Linked DNA regions of Styela clava. The protein of the gene in region 3 purifies or fractionates together with the protein of the main gene of each other region. This does not show direct contact. Links are inferred from orthologs where the notes say so. Each region holds a gene or a part of one and is shown on either strand. Other genes may lie near its edges.

The links.
Region 1: the proteins of uncharacterized protein LOC120342376 (region 3) and ribosome biogenesis regulatory protein homolog purify together in Homo sapiens (affinity purification with mass spectrometry; 3 studies listed by BioGRID and IntAct, counting the BioPlex papers as one, with this or other methods). This does not show direct contact. The link is inferred for Styela clava from reciprocal best matches to the Homo sapiens genes NIFK and RRS1.
Region 2: the proteins of uncharacterized protein LOC120342376 (region 3) and pre-rRNA 2'-O-ribose RNA methyltransferase FTSJ3-like fractionate together in Homo sapiens (co-fractionation; 3 studies listed by BioGRID, with this or other methods). This does not show direct contact. The link is inferred for Styela clava from reciprocal best matches to the Homo sapiens genes NIFK and FTSJ3.

Annotation. Positions count from the first base shown.
Region 1 is NC_135263.1:4,727,733-4,735,602, forward strand, and holds the start of ribosome biogenesis regulatory protein homolog, read left to right. Parts: upstream 1-4,829; 5' UTR 4,830-4,965; coding exon 4,966-5,129; intron 5,130-6,457; coding exon 6,458-6,530; intron 6,531-7,005; coding exon 7,006-7,044; intron 7,045-7,870. Other genes in the region: protein phosphatase 1 regulatory subunit 16A-like, read right to left, coding at 1,111-1,295, 1,815-1,879. UniProt on the Homo sapiens protein: Involved in ribosomal large subunit assembly. May regulate the localization of the 5S RNP/5S ribonucleoprotein particle to the nucleolus.
Region 2 is NC_135263.1:4,791,953-4,798,973, forward strand, and holds the start of pre-rRNA 2'-O-ribose RNA methyltransferase FTSJ3-like, read right to left. Parts: upstream 3,061-7,021; 5' UTR 1,845-3,060; coding exon 1-1,844. Other genes in the region: small ribosomal subunit protein eS6-like, read right to left, coding at 3,489-4,244.
Region 3 is NC_135252.1:14,885,967-14,893,463, forward strand, and holds the start of uncharacterized protein LOC120342376, read right to left. Parts: upstream 3,053-7,497; 5' UTR 2,926-3,052; intron 2,392-2,925; exon of another isoform or gene 2,340-2,391; 5' UTR 2,324-2,339; coding exon 2,234-2,323; intron 1,909-2,233; coding exon 1,768-1,908; intron 1,694-1,767; coding exon 1,585-1,693; intron 1,462-1,584; coding exon 1,334-1,461; intron 1,178-1,333; coding exon 1,088-1,177; intron 854-1,087; coding exon 769-853; intron 488-768; coding exon 303-487; intron 1-302. Other genes in the region: cilia- and flagella-associated protein 410-like, read left to right, coding at 4,066-4,145, 4,337-4,355, 4,693-4,739, 5,013-5,138, 5,337-5,443, 5,555-5,722, 5,787-5,880, 6,327-6,567 and 1 more; ATP-dependent DNA helicase DDX11-like, read right to left, coding at 7,145-7,177, 7,277-7,412.

The DNA.
Region 1 (7,870 bases), on a different chromosome or scaffold from region 3:
TTCAATCAAAAACGTCCTCGAAGTCTTATAAGTTCTTCAAGTCGGCGTTTATCGAAATTCTTTCATGTCAGGTGTAATATATTGCCGAACCACACATGGACGACGACGCTAGGATATGTGCGCCATATTCGGGATTATTATAAACACGAAAAAACAGTATTTGAATTTAAATTCGATTTGGACATCCCTGCATTAAATTAGTCAGTTTTTAGTGGTGTTTCCAAAAATTAGTTGTAAATCAATTATTTTAATTGTCATTATGTCTTCCGGTGAGCTTCAGTTTAGTTTAGAATTTTTCCGGGGTTAGGGTCGGGAAAAGGTCCATTCGCAAGAAGTGCATTTTGTTTTTAGTGTTGACGAATTCACCCAACGAGCAAGGCGCGGCACGAGGGAAACACTGGAATTTATTCAAGCCGTGTTTCACTATCCACGAGGCGCAAAGCGAGGGAAACGTTGAAAATAATTAACAGCTTTTCGTTAGCAATTCGCTGGAATGTAATGAACGGCGTTTTGCTACCCACGAGGTGCAAGACATAGCGAAGCGCCGTTAATGAACGAGTGCAAGGTAAGCGAAAGGCTGGGATTTAATCGATGGCGTTTCCCTTTTAACCATGAGCAATTTATCGTGGTCAGCGGGGCGACACCTAGTGGCGTTGCGACTCACGTCGTGGTTGCACTGTGTAAATTCCGGTCGGACCCCCCCCCCGTTGAAAACAGCCTGGTTGCGCCACTGGGGACAAATACCAAATTTATGGTTCCAAAAGTATAGACATGCTGCGGGAGATAGAAAGCAGTATAGCGAAGGTACTTTATATAGGTTCGTATCAAATTGGGAAAAAAGTCACAATCATTTAAAGCCATTATTACACATGCAATATTATTTTCCCAAATCAGTTCATTATGTTTTGACTTTTAATATCACTCTTTTTTATTACTGGCTGGAAAAATAAACTCGACTAAATGCATGCCAACTGATCTTCCATTTCATTATATTTTCATTTTCAGCTTGCATGGTTAGGACTTTAATTTGATCCTTAATCAAACATCTTGTTAGTCTGTGTAATTTACATGCATGAAGTGGGAATTATTGCATAATACAAGGTGTTCTACCTTCATCTACATCGTCTCGAGCGGCAGCTTCAAGTAATGTAACACTATCTCCAAATTTAACTGATCTTTTGTTATCATTTGCTATTTGTCCGTTTGGTAATCCTGCCTTATCTTTTTCATATTCAAGCTCGGATTCTTTCCAACGCTGAAGTTGTTCTTGTCGACGTTGCCTTGCATGGATCAGCCTTGAAAATATATTTTTGTTAGAAATAATGTCAAATGCTGATAATATGACAAAAATATGCCAAAATAACTTTAGTGGAAAAGGAATTCCCCATGCAATAGCAGTTTTTCTGGTCGTATTGAATTGAACCCCTTCACATCTCACGCCAATGGCTAGCATCCAATGCGCTACCCCTATTTCAATATAGTTTTATTAGCTCTTTCAGTGGTGTGACCATAACTTTGTAGAGATGAGTCTCCTTGACTTTTGGCGGTTATGTGATCCACCTTACGGCGGCAAGGAGTTCAGCAATCTTCTTTTAATAATCATCCCCCACAAGATTCGAAAGTGCGAAGCAATGCAGAGTAATCAGAGGTGCGGTGGCGAGCATATTTCTAATGCTTATTACAATGAGTCACACTACCTGGCCGATAATGCTTTTCTCCAGATAGATATTTTGCTCATTATTTAAATATAATGCCATGGTTGCACACACAGAAAAATTAAATCCTCATTATATCAACACAAAAAACTTTTTTACCTGTCTTCAGTTGACATGCTGTTGACGTAATCAATTTCTGCAACAAGATTTGCATGGCTCACCATTTCTCAAAGTACATTCCAGAACGAAGGTTATAATTACCTGCCTAGGTAGCTAGATTGCATTGCTATTAAAGTATGATAATTCACCTAATCTATGCTGGAAAAATGAGGAAAACAGTTTCTGGTTTGCACGAACTAAAGTTAAAAGTAGGGCCCTGGATATAAAATACAGTAAGTAAATTAGATTTTCCGAAATGGATTGTCATAATACCATTTTAGGCATACAAAGCCTAAATTTGATCGAAATGTACTGAATACTTGAAATGACAAAGAGTAGAAATGAAAGTGACACACAATATGACATCCTATAAACTAAGAAATACTTGATGATATTCGTAATACAAAAATATATCAAAATATCTTTTTCTGTCTCTTTGAGTAATTATTATATTGACAAGAAGACAATTTCCCATTACTTAAAAAAATTGATGAATTAATACAACTCAGGACTCAACCATTCGAAATCAATGAAGCATAGCTCGCCAGAATAATACCATCTTAAATAATGTGTAGCAGAGCTGCATGGTTCCACTTCATTGACTACCACATTAAAATAAGATTCATACCAAACAGACTGGACTACAATAATGACAAAAATGACATTTTCCTCTAATCTGCACTTTCAAACTCATTTACTTAGAAGATACAAAACTGTTGCTTTTTATATCATGTGAAATATTCTAACTTATTCTTAGTAATACTAATACGTAGACTAATGTTTATTCCAATTTTTCTTCTGGGCCAATCGTTTCTAGATAATCGATTCTTAATCATTAAGCAACAAGTCTAGAAAATATCTCTAGAGACAAATTAGAAGGGAATAGATGCATCAATAAAAACCTTGCTCAGCTGAAAACGACCTAAGGGAACTGAATGCAATTTGGTAATTTCTCCGAGATGATTAAACCATACTATTAAATAGTAATTTAAACTGTAAGTGTTATTGAATACTACATTTATTAAACGTTTAAGAATATTAAAATTCAGTTGAAATGGAATATATTGGGTCATACTCATACCCCTAGGATTTGGTATGAAAAATCGTGAAAAATGAATATAATTTGAAAAGTTCCTTTAAGAAATAGAATAAACTAAAGTATCAGTTGTAAATGTTGCAAGTGTTTCAAATTTCTAGTTGCAATACTCTATGAATAACCCACAATAGATATTTTCACTCTTGTTTCAGCATACATGGATAATACAGATTGACCGCCTCTAGGGCATAGAAAAAGGATAATTAGTTGAATTAAAAAAAAACGATTATCAGCATAAAATATTGTTTGAACCCGCCAACCTGAGCAAGCGCGCACCTAATGCTACTATCTAATAGAAACCAGATAAAACTTCTTTGCACACAACACAGTTCCAGAAAATCTATTTTCTTCCATGCGTAAGTTACAAATGCATTGTATTGAAATCTAAACTTTGTAGCGTAATTACCCTCTTAACAAGAATACTTTGCGGTTTAAATTGATTTATATGCATAACTGAACAACAAAAGTCTATCATGTTACTTCACATTACGTTCACTCCAATGCTTATGAGCTATTGATTATAGATCAAGTATTTGAAAGGTGAGACAGTTGACGAGACTTGAAGTGCGCATTCTAGGATATTTATTTATTTTTTATTATTTATATGAGTTAAGTTTATTTCGGCTCCATAATCAGCATAACAAATGATAAGATAATTAATTGATAACTGATTATAAAACCAGGATAGCAAACAAAACCTTAGGTAATGTTCAAAGCGTACAAAATATAAGTTGAAAGGTTTTGCCAAAGACAAGCGGAATTGATTTTTAAATTTATTTTAAAAGTCAGAATGATTAATTCAAAATAAATAAAAATATTGCAAAAAGATTTAATATAGACATTTTGTAATATATGGATATTGATCTAAAAATCAATTTAGGCCATTAATCATGTAATCCTAAAAAAATGCTTAAATGGCTTCAATTAGACTACATTGGAAAGAACTAAGCGGTATCTTTTCAATGATAAAAACTGCCTAGGACGCAATCCTTTTAGTCTAAGACCTGAAAACGAAATGCAATATCTGAATATTAGGCAATATCTTTTGGGATACAGAAATAGATTTAAGGTTAATTAAGACTAACAAAATTGTTATAAATAATATTATTTATATAATTATTTATAAATTTTTATTTTCTGTCTTTGTTATCTTCTCAAGTTGATTAGACCTAAGGTTTGAATACAAATTTTTTTAAAGTGCCGTCATCGTCTTAATGATTCACAATTTCGTTAATAAATTCTGCGATCTCAAGTCCAATTTGGTTTTCAAATCCACTAAACCAGTGAACACTCAAGCTTAGCACTGCGAGCATAGCATTCTGATGAATTGCAATATAAACTTCTCAACCCTAATTTAAAATCTAGTAACGAAAACGTGTTCTCTAAAAATTATATAACTTTCAAAAACAGGTCGTGACGAGATGCACCAAGCCATCGACCAAGCCGCTAGCAAACAGATTAGCAAGTGCGGCGTTGCAAAGCGAGCAACTCTCACGAAATGAGAACGAAGAGACAAAATTTTGGCATAAACCACATCCGCGAGATGACGCCCATGGGTATTTATGAAAGAGCCATAAAATTTGTTTTGTGGTGCAAAATTTTAAAACTATTTAAACCCATTTTTTTAACTTTCTAGTTATCGAAAAAAATGAAGTATTGCGAAAACTGTACAATTAGAACGTAAAAATTTGTAAAAAATCTGTTAAAAGTAAAACTAATTGTCGGACAAAAGATACGCATCGGTGGTCATAATTGTAGCATGTAATTTTGATAGTTGTCAGATATACAGAAATTTAAATTTTTTAAATTTGCAATTAAGTAACAAATCCCCAACAGACTTGCATAAAATTGATGTTTCCATAATTGTATTTTTTTTTTTTTAATTTTGGAAACTTATCAAAAATTTATAATGTTACTTTTAGTAAAAATTTTGCAAGGATGTCAAATGTGATTTACTCCAATCTGGTAACCCTTCCCTAAATCGACAAAGTTTTAATATCTGTCTTGCTAAATTTCGCCGTTTTTTCGTCATTTTGTGATTCAATTTTACACAAAATGGAGGAAGTTGCTGCGGATGCGTCACAACTATTAAAAAATATAACTGAAGAGGAGAAAGAAAAATTAAAATCTATCACTGTTGAGAAAGATATTGACCTCGAATTCGACCTGGGAAATCTTATTGCAACGGACTCCAATTTACTGGATTCACAAGCTTTCAAGTAAGATACATCTAATATTATACTGCTGTATTAGTGAACAAGTTTTAAAGTAAACAGTATATGGAAGAACAATTTTGTTTCTTTACTTTTTTTGCTGTTGATTCTCAATACCAGATTTTTCTTGTACTGGTATAATCAAGTTATATTAAACTTATACTTACAAATAACTGATAAACTACATACCTATCTATTTAAGTATACGTTTATTTCGACTCCATAATCAGCATAACAATAAAATGATTGGTAAAAAAAATGATGATTATGAAATCAGGAGAGCAAACAAAACCTTAGATAAGGTTTAAAACGTACAGAATGTATACAAGATGGAAGGTTTTGCCAAGAAAAAGTGGTACGTGTTCACTTACCTAAAATAATGGGAATATTTCACACACGCTCACACGCACCCACACTCACAACCATACAGAAGTTATAAATTACATACGGGTAATTTAAAAAAATAAATAAAAATTACTTGCCACACCATATTAATAAATTTATAACGTTTGCCACTGCCGAATTGATAGATTTTATAAATGGGAGTGAACAGTAGAGATGAACTTTTATGAAAAATGTATTGCCAAGCAGATTATAGTTATGGAATTACTCAATCTCATTCCAGGAATTTACTGTCTAAGTTGCACGTTTTTCTCTTTTTGAGGATAGTTGCATTTTTATACCATTTGCTAGCTCAGTAACTTGTCAAATTTGCATCATGAATTGATCTTTTGTACAATAAACAAAATGGAATCGTCAGCATAATAAATCTCGCAAAATGACCTTGGGTCTAGTGTAGTTTAGTGCCTCTTTAGTACTTCTAGTGGACGTGGAATAACTATTTTTGCATATTTTATTCCCAACACTACCCGACGACAAAGCTTTCTCGGTTTAGGGTAAGCATCTACACGGTGGGAATAACTGTTCGTGTATTTTTCCGTGTCTTAACGTGTTACAGTGAAGTCATCATGGTGACATAATTTTTGGATGACGTAGTCAAATGGGGGGTAGGAATTACATATGCAAAAATTGTTGAACTAATCCCTTGTACTATACCAGACCCACCTGCTCAACTTAATTAAAATAAATTGGTTTAGAATGCTATTTGGCTCTAAACAACCCCAGCATCATTTTCATATAAAATTTTTGAGCCATGTTTACAAGCCGCCACTTTTTAGTGTTTCCCAATTCTAATCAGCTCCCTTGGCACTGGTCCTTTGCATAATCGCACATTCCGTTCGCATCAACTGGCCATATAAGGGAACGGTGTTTACTGAATGTGTGCCTAGTTTTTGTAGTCATACAAATTATCAGTTTTCAATCATTTTTTTCAGGCAAAATTCAGAAGACTACATCAAGAAACTAACAAGAGACAACACACAATTGCTATTTAATGAAATATGGAAAGTGAGAAAGTTGTTTTTGTTTTAATATTTGCAACAGAGAATTGGCAATACTAAATAATTATTATACTTGAATGATTTTGAATTGGGTAATCAAGTCCATGCATCCGAAAACGAATAACTGACTAACTAAACTATTCCCATACCCGACATGGACTGGTAACCGGACGGAAGGGTGTGGTTCACCATATGATTAAGCTGTGTTATAAATATATAAATCCTCCCCTATCCTATTGATTTTATTGAGAAAAGAAATCACTGTTGTGGAGTCTGGTCCTGGTGATATAAAATCGGACTCTTAGTAATGTGATTTGGGTTCTGACATATCAGAATTTGATTCTTTTATGGTCATCTTTAATCTGTAGTGTAAAAAGTTTCAATCTCGTCTTTTAACCTGAATATCAATGAAGGATAAATGGCAACATTAGTGCTTCATTGATAATGTTGTAAAATTAATAATTGCTATTTTTGTTTTACAGTTACCAGTTGAACGAGTACAAGAAGCCATAGTTGCCAAGGTATAATGTAAAAAATAATTATTTGTTATGGGCATTCCCGTAGCATGTGTACCAGGTTAGGGTTAGGCCATAATTTTATTCTGATTTTTCTTATTTTAGTTCTTTTACGAGTTCAGGACTGTCCGTGTGAGACAAGTAGATATACCCCCTGCCCATAGGTTTCAGTCCCTTTACACAACTTGATGTAAAGTAGGCAAACAAAATTAGTTACCTCCATATTGGTACACACACTTCTAGATGCACTATACTCTCATGATTAATTTAAATCTAACCTTGAGTTTACAATCTTGTTTGAAAATCAAATGAGACGTTTTGCTCAGAACAGGGCTGTAAACAGGTTGCAATTCAAACTCAGATCAATTGAATTTTGATTATGTTTGCATAAGGATCAGTGGTGAGCTGCAGCCGAAACGCACCGGTAGGCTACCTAGTTTTGGTTGTTAAACATTTAATGGCATTTGCGCTCCTGTTGTTGGAATAAAATTATGTCATGGGGAGTCCCGTTTAACTTAGTTAATAACTGTACGGTTTGTTACGGTCATAGTACGTTTTCACAAGTTAGGTACATACTGGTTGTTACAATTTTTCCATCTCATCACTGATAAGGATGCCAATATCAGTTATGGCTATTAGTCATTTGTATTAATAAAGCCATTGTCCGCTTGTCAATGATCATTTTGTATGTAAAAACTTCTGCTTTGTAGAGTTTCCACTTAGTTATTTTTCTGACAGGGATAACTTGAATTGTTTCAAGTTTTTTCAACTGTCATCTATTAATAATTGCAGAGATAACCTTGTATAAAGCTCTTAAAACTTCTTTTTAGCA
Region 2 (7,021 bases), on a different chromosome or scaffold from region 3:
CGATTGAAAGAATCATCTATTATATCTCTCTTCCTTTTCCGAGATGTTGCAATGACTGTTCCGAGGGCAAGCCCTGATGCGTCTAACTTTCCAGTCGCACCCCGATAATCAGATGGCACAACTTCAAAATCTTTCAAGTTGGGGTTCTGGTCCTCAGGATCAGCTGCCATGTTGATGTCGTAATCACTATCGCTACTCGAACCACTGTCCTCATCTTCTTCTATTTTAGGATCATGAGGATGTTTCATTCCAACTTCCATTTTAACTTCCTCCTTGGAAGATTCTTTAATTTCATCCCTTTCTGGAATCTTTTCCTCCTTTTTATTCTTCGGTTTGGGAGGTACTCTTTTGGCATCTAATTTAATATCAGCAAAGATATCTTTACTAAACCAGAGGTCGGTTTGTCGCTCAGAAGCGAGTTCGTCCTCACCTAGTGGTACAATAAGTGGATGCGGGCTCTCTTCTTGTTTTTCTTCATCTGAAGAATTTTCCCCATCTGATTCCTGATTGTCTTCAAATTCAATTTCACTGACTTCATCATCGGATTCGTATCCATCTTCATATTCATTTCTTTCTTTGTCATGAATTTTCATACTGTCATCTTCAGTAAGCGTCTCCAAATGCTTGTTAGACTTTATATTATGCAAAGAGAACAATTCCATGTCTTCTTGAGTGTTCGTCGATTGCGCCATATGACCCATGCGTTCACGTAACTTTCGCCGTTCCTTAGTAACAACTTTCTTTTTTCTTTTGAGTTGTTTCGCTTCATCCTCTTTCATTTCGGATAACTTTTTCTCAATCTCTGCATCACTGTCAGATGATGATCCCTCGTCTAATTCTTCGTTTTCTTTTTCACCTTTTTCAGACTCTTGCTCTCTTTTTTTATTCATCTTTTTATGCCAGTTTACGAGAATTCGAAATTCACGTTTACCGATGACCTTCAAATCTTTACACGCATCGACAATATCATCTGTTGTAAAGACATGCCCAAAAATTTCTTCATCATCAAATACAAGCTTGTTGCTTTGTTTCAGGATGTGCAATGGTTTATCAGAAGCAAGGAATTCAGATACTGTACATTCTTCATATAACATTGTAGCGTCATCTTTATACCCAACTGCTTTCGCTTTTTTCAACAATTTTTTATTTCCAAAGTCTGCCATCGTAATTTGGTCATCACCAGGTGTAAGTTCTTGAAATACATGTTTCGCATCGAAGAATTTTTTGTCGATTTTATCTGGCGCTTTGTAGCCTTGACAAACAACGAAAATTTCAGCAGATTCATTTCGAGAAGCTTGTGGTTTCGTTGCATGAACTTTTTTGAAAAGTTGATTAAAAATCCACATTAATGATTGATAATCTTTTGAACGGAAAACTTTGGTCACAAACCAACCTCCCTTGCGGAGGAAATCGCACGCTAATTTCAATGCGTGAAGAGTCAAAACAGATTGGGAGAATGCATCATGAAGCCAGTTTTTACCAACATTGGGCGCTCCGTCGTGAATAACCGAATCAGCTTTCCAATTATGAAGTTCCTTTCGGAGTTGTGATTTGCATTTTTCAGTGGTAATATCCTCAGTGAATGTTATACAATTTGGAATAGGCTTAATTGGAACTAAATCGACTCCAAGAATTAAACTTGAAACTGGCATATACTGTGATGCAACTTGAAGCCATCCTCCTGGTGCAGCACACAAGTCAATCAGGACTTTGGAGGTTTGTAAAAAGCTGAATTTCTTATTCAGTTGCAAAAGTTTGAAAGCAGAACGAGCTCTGTATCCAGTCTCCTTTGCTAAATGATAGAATTTATCCTTGCGCTTCTTGGCTTTGGTCTTTTTACCCATTGTATGATTGTTTTAATAATAATTATCTGAAAGTATTTACAAAAATGATTTTTCGAATGAACGTAAGACTAAAATATTATGCAGTAACGACCACGAGTGATATTATTTGAAAGAGCTGTGCTAAAAAATCTAATGACAATGGTCTACTTGAGAAAACTACCAAAATGTTACCAGAGCGGGGGAGCTTGCACAAATCACAATGGCTCCATTGATACGAGATAGCCCTGATTGCTACTACGGCTATCGCTTTCTAATACAACAGAATTTGCTACACATTAGGCTGAAGGGTAGATTGTGTTACAAAGCTCTGAAAAATATTTATACTTTATGAAATACTATTTCGGCAGGACAGGGAATAGCCAAAACTATGTGGTGTTTCGTATTCCAAATAAACCAAAATAATAATTTCGAATATCCACAGCAAAATTTGTGCATATTTATATGAAATTAAAATTGGCATTTAAGGAAGCCAGACTATTATCGTACCATCAGATCGCAATTTATTCATATAACAACATGGCTAATATGTATTTAGTTAAGTGTTGGACATTTCAGTGTAAGATTCCTAAAAACTAGTGCAATATTTTCCTTTATCATTAATATTTATAACAACCAAGAACTCGATAAATATACAAACACAATGCGCTTCAGACAGCAGGATACTTGCTGCTTGTGAAAATAATGCCAACGTTAACAAAAATAATATATCAGTTACGCGATGCCGAGCGAGTTAGAAACAGATACTTCAAGTTTCTCAATTTTATAAGGATTTAAAAATGTGGTACCATCTTGTCTACATATATTCTTACTAAAATTCTTCATAATTTTGGAAAACCTGCTCACATGGGCACTCGCAGACTTTGTTTTGTAACTTGATCGATTGTTTTGAAAAACAAACAATTTAATTGGTGAATTTGAACTGCAATTAGTTGGAATCAAGTCAAATTTAAATGGAGCCAAGTAAATGAAAATTAGTTATCCTGTTTATTTGGTTCAACTTTATGCTCAAATCGACACCTATTCTACAGTGCAAATTCAAATTATATATTTCAAAGCATTAATCCCGCATGGAGAATAAACTAAATCATCAGGGATATTGGTTGATATCAATTCATTATTTTACTTTCTGCGAATGCCCATGTGTTGACCACCCTGACTCATTACGCACTGAAACCCATTTCCTAGCAAGATTTCTGATATTAAAAAAGGCAGATGAAAGTTGGCAATCTCATTCACTACAAATCAAGTCTAAGCTTTTGCTCATATGTAACAAACAAGCAATAGCTGGTTGAAAAGAGCAAACGAGACACCAATGATGCCGGAGACAAATTCAAAAAAAAAAAAACGATTCGGCTTCAATCATGAGGCATGCCGAAAGGAAACTTTGAACTATTTAGCTATATCACTAAAGCGAGGAAATCTTTCACGTCAAAATCTATAGAATTGTAAACCGTCAAATACCGCATACAGTATATACACCTCATTGGTGTTTGCGACAAAATCCCACACACAGATAAAACTCTGACCATAACCATAATAGATAACAAATAGAAACCAAAATTATTTAGGTTTTATGTATTGCGGTAAATTATCATTTCTACCGAACAATATATTGCGCAATATAACCATCAACAATAAGTCAAATTACTGTGACGATTGAGATTGTGACTGAGATGCTCGCAAACTCGAAAGTCTTCGACGCTTTTGGGCCTCTTGTTTCTTTTCTTTCAATTCTTTGGCTCTCTTCGCCAACACTTTTTTGTACTCAGTCTCTTCTTTCTTTGCCTTTTCTGCACGTCTGCGTTTCATGGTTTCCCTGTGTCTCTTTCTCTGGAGAACTTGCGGTGTGATTAATCGCTGAATTTTAGGGGCCTTGTATCTTGGTTTTTTCTGCTCTTTTCCTTCTTTCGCGGGAACGGGACGTCTGACAACATATTGACGAACGTCATCTTCTCTAGACAAATTGAAGAGCTTTCTGATCTTGCTTGCACGCTTAGGTCCAAGACGTTTTGGGATTGATTTGTCAGTTAATCCAGGGAGTTCATTATCTCCTTTCTTGACAATGATCAAGTGTAAAACGCTGAGATTCGCATCAACAATACATCCACGAACAGATTTACGTTTTCTCTCGCCAGTACGGCGGGGCCTGTAGCATTTATGACCTTTAGAAAGGAGCAATTGAACTCGACCAGCAGTAAGAACACCCTGTTTCATGGGGAAACCTTGCTTATCGTTACCACCCCCGATCTTTACGATGTATCCTTTCCACTCATCTCCCAAAGATTCGGCGGAAACGTCTTGACCCATACGACGATCATAAAAGGCACGTAATTTTAACTCATCGTCTATCTCAATAAGCTTCTGGCACCCCGTTGCGGGGTAAGAAACGTTCAGCTTCATGGCAAAAAGAGGCGAAACCTATACGGGCCCAGCTGAAAAAGACCGCCTGGTGATGATTTTGCCGTTACCAGATTTTATCATTGTACTTTGGCTACCCAGTCAGGTGGGCTCTTCTTTTTGTGCATCCGAAAGAATAAGTTCGCACTACAAACGGTTAATCAAATTTTACAATTGTTTTAAAATTATTATTTGATAAACTTTTCAGACCATTCATATACTTACATATCGTTAATTTAGCATTATCAAATTCTTCCCATAAACGTCCAAAGACAAATTTTTGACAGTATTAATTTAAAACCTGTGTAATAAATTTTTGTTATGTTTTAATTTGATACATGATCAGAAATTTCATAATTTATCAGTGTAGAACAGTTCTATTTCGTAAAAACAAATAATTTTTTTGAATCTAAAATCTGGCATCTGTTTATATCTCACGTCGCCACATGAGAACGCTGTGAAACTGACGCAATCATTCAAGCATGGCGACGTAAATTTGGTTTGCGTGAAAACGTCACTAACGGATTTGTTACGCATGACGTACCTCGAGTGGCGCTCAACTCGAATTCCCAAACCCGATTGCTTGTCAAAGCAATGTTTAAGCAAATAATGTTTGGGGTAAATACAAGGTAATAACGGTCGGGCGTGGATAAAATTTTACGAGTGGTATAACGAGATACTGGACAATAATTATGGACGCGTTTTGAAAGGTGAGGATGATTTTGTGTCAAAATTTTCGAGTTTTTATCTGCGACAGTTGCCTAGGTGCAAGATTTTTCCGTTTTGCAATTACAGAATTCCATAGTTATGATTGATTGCGTATTTCAATATGTCTGTATGTTGTCATATTATTCTAATGTGTAATAAAATATTTTAATAATGAAAGTAATAACAGACTGACAGAATAATTGCGTGATGAATATACAACTGTACAAACACCAGTACAGAAATACGCAATTTGATTTCTGCATCCTTTTTGTAAATACAGAAATAGTGAAGTACGGTATTGGTGCAATAATAAAAAAGTTTGAATTACTGTACTGATACTGAAGGTGGTCCATGTTTGTCATACAAAATCAAAATTTAAAAAGGTGAAATAAACACAATTGCAGAAATAATAAAAATACGGGAAATAAAGTTATTGATGAAAGTGGAGTCCATCATTTCATTTTCCATTTTTAAAAGTTGCACTTTCTCACAAAAATAAGCCACCTGCATCTACTAAACCTGTGGAATGAATGAACATATTTTCAACAGGTTTTTTTAATGTTTGTATATAGTATATGTATATTTTTTAATCGAATTTGCTTAAAGCGAGATCACGAACTCACTCAAAAATAAAGGAGATTGATCTCTGTATGAGGTTACGGGCGACCACTAGAGTGTCAAGAGCTACCTAGAGCAGTGGTTGGCAACCTTTTTCAAGTGACAGACCGGTAAAGCCTGACCAAAATTTTTGCGGACCATCTTTATACAAACTGACTAAGCCTATGCAATAAATTATACACATTAGGAAATTTATGTTGACAATATACTAAAAAACGAAAGTGATGCTATTTGATGCGATATCTGTATTTGTTTGCTGGCCATTAACTGTTCCCGTCCAGACTACTTCGATATTTCTTTTTTGTAGTTATCAATATTGAAGACCAGGCCTCACATTAATAAGATTTCGAGAAAGGTACCAATGCCTGTAGACCTTCTGACTCTGGTCTGGGTATTGATTGATGATTGTTTTGCCAAAACTATTTTTGCTCGCTGTGCTAACTTTATGATTATCCGGATTCTGAAGTACCTATAAAATTAGCACTGACTAGGCATGACCGGTTAGCAATGAGCCAGTAGTGGAGTTAGTCACGTTCTTAGCGAGAATTATTTTGTTGGAGATATCTTATACCCAATGAGCATATATGCTCATCGCTTGTACGGACTGATGAGAAACATTCTTTTAGGGGCGTAGTGGAAACAATTGACCCAGCATTATTGAGACATACTGACATTGCAATTGTTTGTCTGGTTTGCTGTCGGCTGTTGTTTTTTAGTCGTAGAGTTTGTCGTTAGATTGTAGAGATTTTATTACGGTACAAATCGGAAAGATATTAATGATATCTAATTAGTTAGTACATATCTACACAAGACTCCCATGACAGAATAAATGTATGCTGAATTTTCTGACGGGGGGAATTTACAATGAATTGCGTTTTATTGTTTGTTAGTCATTATGCTTCTAGGAAAATAATATTAAATAAATCACTACCCCATTTTTATTAATGCATCTCGTTCATTTGAAGTTTTCTAGTGTTGAATGTGTTTATTCGCCTCAAAATATTACAAGCTCGGTATAATATTCATACTAATTCTCGTAATTCCTATTACCTGACAATATTTAGTGAAATATGAAATAACAGTCATTATAATCAGGTTTTATTCAATTTGCAAATAACAGTTTGTTTTATATAGTTTAACTACACTTTTAGGGCTGCGAAGTAAAATTCAACCATACCCGAAATGCTGATTTTTTTTTTCTCACAGGTGACCCCACCCCCCAACTCTAAGAAATTTTAACCCAAAAAACTGTTTTTCATTCAAGCCTTCTTCAATTGCCGGTCGAGACTGCTATTTTAGTTCCCGCTGGAAATTTTGATCCTGATTTCACCATTAGAAGTCTGAAATTCAGACTCCCAACTTAAAAAAGTTCTCTCTTGACGTCGACTTTAAAATCATTGAAAACCGATCACAGACCATGAGTCATGACTTCTAATGCAATAATAATATTTTCA
Region 3 (7,497 bases):
ATAATTGGGTCTACAGTGACTTTCAAGTAACTATTCATTCCCATATCAGACATGGACTGTTGACTAGAGGCTGTAGAATAGACGATGAAGTTGTCCCATTGACCTATGACATACAAGTCGTATCTTGTTCAACTATAGAATTTCAATTATCATTATCCTCATTTGAAACCTGAAAGCTAAATAAGATATTCAGATATTGAAAAAAGCCAAAACTGATAATGTACATATTTATAAATCGATACTTTTTGACCTATGAAACCATGATTCTGCACAATATTAACAACTCAAGTTAATCAGCATACTTTGGTCATTGAACTTTTTGTATCAGTAGACTGCACTTTAGGTCCATTCTCCAGTGATGTATCACTAGTTTTATTATCATTTGATTCTTCCTTCTTTTTTATATTAGTTCCCAATTTCTTTGTATTTGAGCGTTTGCCATCAAAATCTTCACCATCAGAATACCGATACTCCATTCCAATGGAATCTGAATTTTGGAAAAAAAATCATTTTTACTGCAAGTTTCGAAAATATGAAATTGGGATATTAATATTTAGATGAGGAAATATGTTGTTAAATGCCAGTTGACGCTAGCATTGAAGCAGTTTGAGCCGACATGATAAAGAAGCAGCTCTGTAGGTAATGGATGAAGCGTTGAGTTGAGCGTATGCCTTCTCAATTTATACCCTACAAAGCTAGAGTATCCTTGCTTTAACTATAATAATAGACAAAACACTCAGCATACAATCATTTTAATATATATGGTACCTGGAATAGGCTCATAAACATCTGCTAATTCTTCAGGAGAAGCACGGGTTCTTTCAGGGGAAACAAATGAGTCGTTTACTTTAATCTGTAGATAAAATACAAACAAGTTGAAATAATATCTATTGATAATGAAAATAAGACCTTTACCATTACATGATCTGATGTAATATAAACCATGTTGAAGAAATCTATAATTTTAAAAAGTTATCCACAATACGGAACTACAATACACAAATACAAGCTGAGTAAAAGAAATCTGATTGTAGTTTGAGGACAAGGTATTTTAGCAAGTATCATAAAAATGGCATTGTTGTCCTACATTCATAACATCATAGTCTATATCCATCTCACGAAGCTTTTTGTTTAATAGTCCTCTTCTTTTTCGTAGCCTTTTTAATTTTAACTGGATCTGTAAAAAAAACAGTGAGGAATTACAATGTCAACGAAACTAAAAATCAATGTGGACCTGTCAAAGTCCAATTCATTGCAAATCTCGAAGCAGTTTTCTGCAATTTAATACCATGCATTTTATTTTGGCAAAGATGACTATTAAGTTTGATCAAACCTTTTCAGGATCAGTTACATCTTGATTGTGTCTCTTGATATCTTTTGTTCTACTTTGAGGTACACGCTTAATAAGCCTCCAGTTACTGAATGTGTTTGGTTTCACTTCTTCCAAAGGAATAAGTCTGCCTGCAATTTTTACCAAAATATGATTTTCACACAATTTTAAGCATGGTTACCAAAATCAGTGAAATAGAGATATACCGGTACTAAAGATAATGCAAAATTGATAATACTATAAAGTATACTTACATTTTAATATTTTTTGGAACATTAAATAGTTATTCATTGTTTTAGCTGCAATTTTTGCAACTTCTTCAAATTGAAATTCAATGAAAGCAAACTGTCTTGACTTCCCAGTCTGAAACAAACAGTGATAAAAAATAACTTCCTGGAACAGATGAAAATAAATATACAAAATAGTTGACGACCAACCTTTTTGCTCCGAATCAATTTTAACCTTGTAACTCTTCCAAATTGAGAAAAATATTCATACATTTGTGGTTCATAAAACCCAAGTGGAATATGACTGAGAAGAACAACTCCCCGTTGATTCCCTTTTGCTTCTAATTTTTCCTTCAAAGAGAAAATTGTTAATGATATTAATATTGTATTAGAGTGTAACAGACCTGAATTTTGATGGAAATATGGTTGTCAACATTGTGAAGATAAGTTGTCAACACAATGAGACTCCAATTATTGCTGTGATTTTGATTTGATTGATGAGTTCATTGAGGCAACAATTAAATAGTTAACCACATTATTTTAATTTAATCTAAACATATTCATAAGTTTAATCCATGATTTATTTCGAATTGGATGTTCAAAACCCATTTTACATGTATAAATCACCTTCTACACACACAGTCATGATGATCATATTATAAGCGTTGTTACTTACTCTTCTTGCCCGAATCTTGTCTTTGAATTCTTCATTTCTCTTTTTTTCAAGTGTGAGTTCTTCTGGCGTTCTTTGAGTTTTCTTCCCCATTTTACAGATTACAGGTCTAGCATATAAATTATTGAACTGAAGACATCAAGAAATTCTATGATATTGAATTAGAATAAAATAATGTTTGGTGAAATCTTCACATTTATACACACAGCCATGCGTTACTGCATTAAGTCAAAGGTTAGGTTATTAATAACTACGACAGGATTTAAATATTTATCCTGGGGAGAGGAAAGCTGATAAGACCACTTAACCACACTGCCATATGGCGAACCACTGCCTCTCATCCGGTTACCATTTCATGTCGGGTATGGAATTAGTTAGTTAATCTATTTGTTTTCGAAAGCATGGACTTGATGAAGGAAGCCGTAACCGACCTGCGGTTACATAAACCACTCTACGGCGGCGAGGAATCCAGCAATCCTTTCGCACTTAACCATCCCTGCGTGGGATTCGAACCTGCTAACCCACGCAGAAAATTCAGAGGTGCGGTGGCGAGCGTTTTCCTAACGCTCAGCACGGTGGGCTACACCACCACACAGAAGTACCGGTACCGTAAGATGGTGGGGAAGTTAAAAGAAATTGATTTGAATGAAACTTTAATCTGTTAATTAGTCACATCGCCGACCAGCGTACGGTACCTTGGTATTTCCTCGTTCAGTCGTTGAATAAGATGACGGTTGCTTACTGACAAAAGTTACGGTACCACTACTCAGACTACTAGAAATGCAGACAATCTGAAATTTGAATTTACCACACAGTCTGACAGTAGCCAAATGCAATATCCAGAGTACGGTACCAGAGGTAAGGTACGGTACCAGAGTGAGCTAAAAAAGGGTTTGGTATGGTAACTAATTACCGACGCCGTACTTGTACGGTCCCATAATTTATATGTCTATGCATACTATGGCAATTACATAAAGCTTAGCTTCAGGACAACCGTAATGGATCTAATCCAAGCGTTCAAAACTAATTGAAATAGGCTACACGTCTTCAGTGCGCAAGGCGAAGCTCGCTGAACGATGGCAGTTCCTCTGGACCCACAATAACCACACGCGTACATTTGCTCAATAGTGCCTCCGTGTGGAAATATACCTTCAGGATGCTTTCCGAGTTCCGACCACAGAAAAATTGATCCTATATTTGCAAAGTTGTTGGTGCTTATTATAATAGTGTTTTTGGAAGTTGGCGCTTAAAAACTAGCAAAAATTTTAAACCCAGTCCCAACCACTGTTTGCATAAAAAAAATACAGGGCGCGGTGTCAAAGGTCAAGTCAAACATTGGGGATTTTGTATTTATATTTACCAGTAGCCAGGCAGCCAAGGACCAAGGTACGCTGGTCGGCGATGTAGCCTTGTATAGTGACCTGTGACTAATTTCAACTATGGAAAATACAATCAATTGACTGTAATGAAATGTTTTGTTATTTATGTATACTTGGTCATTGTTATTCATTTATTATTTTATGTTTTTTATTTATTGCATACCGGTACCGGGTACCGTAATCCACATTGTGGAATCATAATTCCCGGTGAACCCGGTGCCGCTAGTAGCCTATGATCTGGTGGAGTTAACGATACCGGGATTTGGTATAATAAATAGGCAACTTTTTATTGTTTTTTATTCAGTTCATTACTAACTTTGATAAATAGGCCTACCGGTATCACCAATATCAGAATATTTTTTTTCCAAAATACCTGAGGAAAATTGGAAGAAATACAATCAATAACAAGGTTGCTTCACAATCTTTTTAATAAGAAGATTACTTTATGACAAAGATATGGTAAAACTCACAGAAAAGCTAGTGCTGGCACGAGCAAGATCTAAAAGCTTGGGTGCTGTAAAGAACCTAAACTGTTGGTAAGAATCTGTATAGGCCCCTAGTCATTCATTAATTTTGTAAACTGGATGCTGAATATACTGGATAGAATAGCAATGTTTCAAATTTCTATAGCCTTAGATACTACTGTACCAGTACTAATAAAAACAAGTTTTAACTCATTGCACAAATCAAAAGTGATTTATAGCTAAATTGATGTTATCTTTTTCAGGGGCAGTGCTCTTTCAGATGTAAGTATTTTATGATACCTAGTAAGGTGTATAAAATAAATCATTATTATCACTCTCGAAATATTTCACATTTATACCAGTGTAAAATAGTCTTGATTAGTTCCATTTGACTTGAATTATCTTCGGAATCTTTTATAGTGAGAGTTACTTAGTGGAATTATACATAAAATTGTTAGATGTTATCGATTCTTGAAGAATTTTGTAGATTTTACTGAACTCGTCTAAACTGACTTTTCCAAGCATGCTTTGCTTTATTTACTTCTATCCATATGGAACCTTGAGTGTCTTTTTATATTGGAGTTTATAGCTATACTGTCTCATTATTAATGTTTTGTAGATTACAATTGTTCGAAAAATGCACAACATTGAAGTGATAAACGCCAGGTTAGTTACATTTCTCGTAAATTTTTGTGCTTATATCGCATACCGGTATTTATTTTTTCTGCAGATATTTTACAATCCGAAAAATTTCATTGGATTGATTCATTTTGATGGATTCATTGGATCTCATGATTTCCATTTCATTGGAAGTTGGCGCTTATTTTCAAGCATGGTTACAAACTTATCTCAATTATTTACTTTTAAAAATTTCCTGTTATTAATGTGTAACAATTTAAGTATCTTATAGTGGATTGAAATTCTTTTTTTTATTTTTAGTGCAAACAACATTGAAAGCCTTCAAGCTTTATCGCATTGCTGCAATTTGAAAGAACTCTATTTAAGGAAAAATAATTTAAAGAATTTGAATGAAGTTCTCCATTTGAAAGAGCTAACAGAATTAAGGTATCTTTATTGAATATTAGTTGTATGTAACCTTCTCAATTATACATATACTAATAAATAGGATTATATATGTAATAGAATATGTTAAAAGAAACAATAATGATAATTGTATGTTTTATTTACTTATTGGGCACAAAGAGGATCCATGTATGAATATATATAGTACTAAGCTTACCTTAAGTTAGCCTTTTTTTTTAGGATTCTTTGGCTTTCGGACAACCCATTTTGTGATGACATCAGTAATACAAAATACAGACTAACAGTTTTAAAAGTGCTGCCAATGCTTGCTAAGCTGGACAATGTAGGTGAGGACACATTATTAATTCTTGTCAGAGGTTGATTTTTATATACAGTTAAAAACAACCCCTGTCTGCTTACCAGTTCTAGAATTTAAATCCAGTCACTTTTCTTTGCAGTTGTCACTGCTGAAGAGGTAGAAAAAGCAAAAAAGGAAGGTGATGAATTGACGGAACCAGAAAGCATCCCAGAAGAAACAAATGAATCAAAAGATAAAGCTATTCCTGTAAATTGTTACCTCGTAAATAATATTGACAATCAAGAAAATACAGAATCTGATAAACAAGGTAAGTTATTGTTATGCAAGAGAATCTAATGTTACAAACAGTTCTCGCCATGACATGTTTTTAGAAAAAGAATCAGAAGAATCTAGACTTTCACCATCTGAAAATCAGTATTCCGGCTACAACAAAGAAAATAATCACTGTCCAGTGGATGAAACAAAGTTAGTATAATAAGGAAAACTTAGTCTGCTTTCCATACCAGAGCGTAATAGGAGTATTGTATCAAATAGTAATGCGCTATGATAGTTGAGGTGGAACATAGGATGAGATGCTGGTTGAAGATATTCATGCCTTTTACTCTAAACAAGTCCAGTAAAAGCAGTCACTCATAATATACTATGACATTCAATGAGCTACAATTTTTGCATGACCGAAATTTTCCGGTTTGAACCTAGGATGCCAACACAATTTAAAGTCCAACCCACCCACAAAAGTTGTAACAAAATTTTGTTTTTGCCGGTTATTAATTAAATTATACGAGATTTAGTTCGTGTGAAAAATCTTTTTTGGATATTAGAAAGTTGATAAATATTTCCTAGTCGAAAAAACTTGATACACAGCCGATAACATATACTGACTACTTGAATGAACGCTTAATTAATGACAGTGAACTGAGAAAACAGTTGGGATTGAGACCATTACCACAACAACAAGAGATTGTTACAAGTAAATCAACAGCTCGAAATACACAAAGAGAAACATTAGGACAGAGTACAGCTAGTATCAACATTCTCTCTGCCACATTGTCATTGGTAAAAGAACTGGATGAAGAAAGCTTACGAACATTGCAAGATGCTATCCAAGACAGATTGCACAGTATTCACAGAGAAGAAAATATGAGTCATGAGGTAATGAAGGCTTTTTTATTGACTATGATAGTCTAGAATTCTGTGCCCTTGCTGGGCAAAAGAAGTTGAAACAGCTCTCTAATCAACATGATTTTAAAGTAGTTGTATGGGACAACACCAAAAGTCAATTTTTTTGTTCAGGAAAACCATGAAGATATGACACAAGGGGTGAATACATCACATGAAACCATGCTTGCAGATTGAAATAATCAATTGCGATCTACGGACATGCTCTATATTGGAAAAACTGCTTGTTCAGGCAGGCAAGGAGATCATGACAACCTCACTGTAGCTTATAGGTGTATTCATATATATTTTTATATTGTTCCGTCTGTCTCACTGTGCAAAAATATTTGCGTTCCTACGATACTTGCTGCTTTCGAAATGCAGTAGTCACTTAATATCTGCTCTGTAAATATAATTGGTGTAGACTGGAACTGTTATTGAACACAACATAGCTATCATGATAAATAAGCATATCTATTTTAAATTGGGGGATGTACTGTTGAATGTTGAAAATGGAATGTAATTTGTGATTACGATACTTTTTAGCATTCTTATCAATTGCGCTATCATTTCATCTGCTTGCAGTCTTCTTGTCCATGAAAAACTGCAAAAGAATAAACACTTTCATCATCACGAGAGACTTCGATTGATTGTAATAAAAGGGTTGTATGAATGCAGTATACATAAATTGCTGGAAATATACCTTTCGAACAGCACCGAATGCAATTCCAAATCTGTCAGCAACTTGTAGTTTGTCAGAAATCCATGATGGTAGTTCGGATTTGATGTTCATTTTTGCATAACGATGATCGGCAAGTACAATGCAGGCATGGTCATTTCTAAAACAAAAGTTTTCAGTGCTATACTGTCTGCATTAAAGATTCTCTAGGTGTGGATATATTCCTTTTTGTGAAAGAGGAAGCT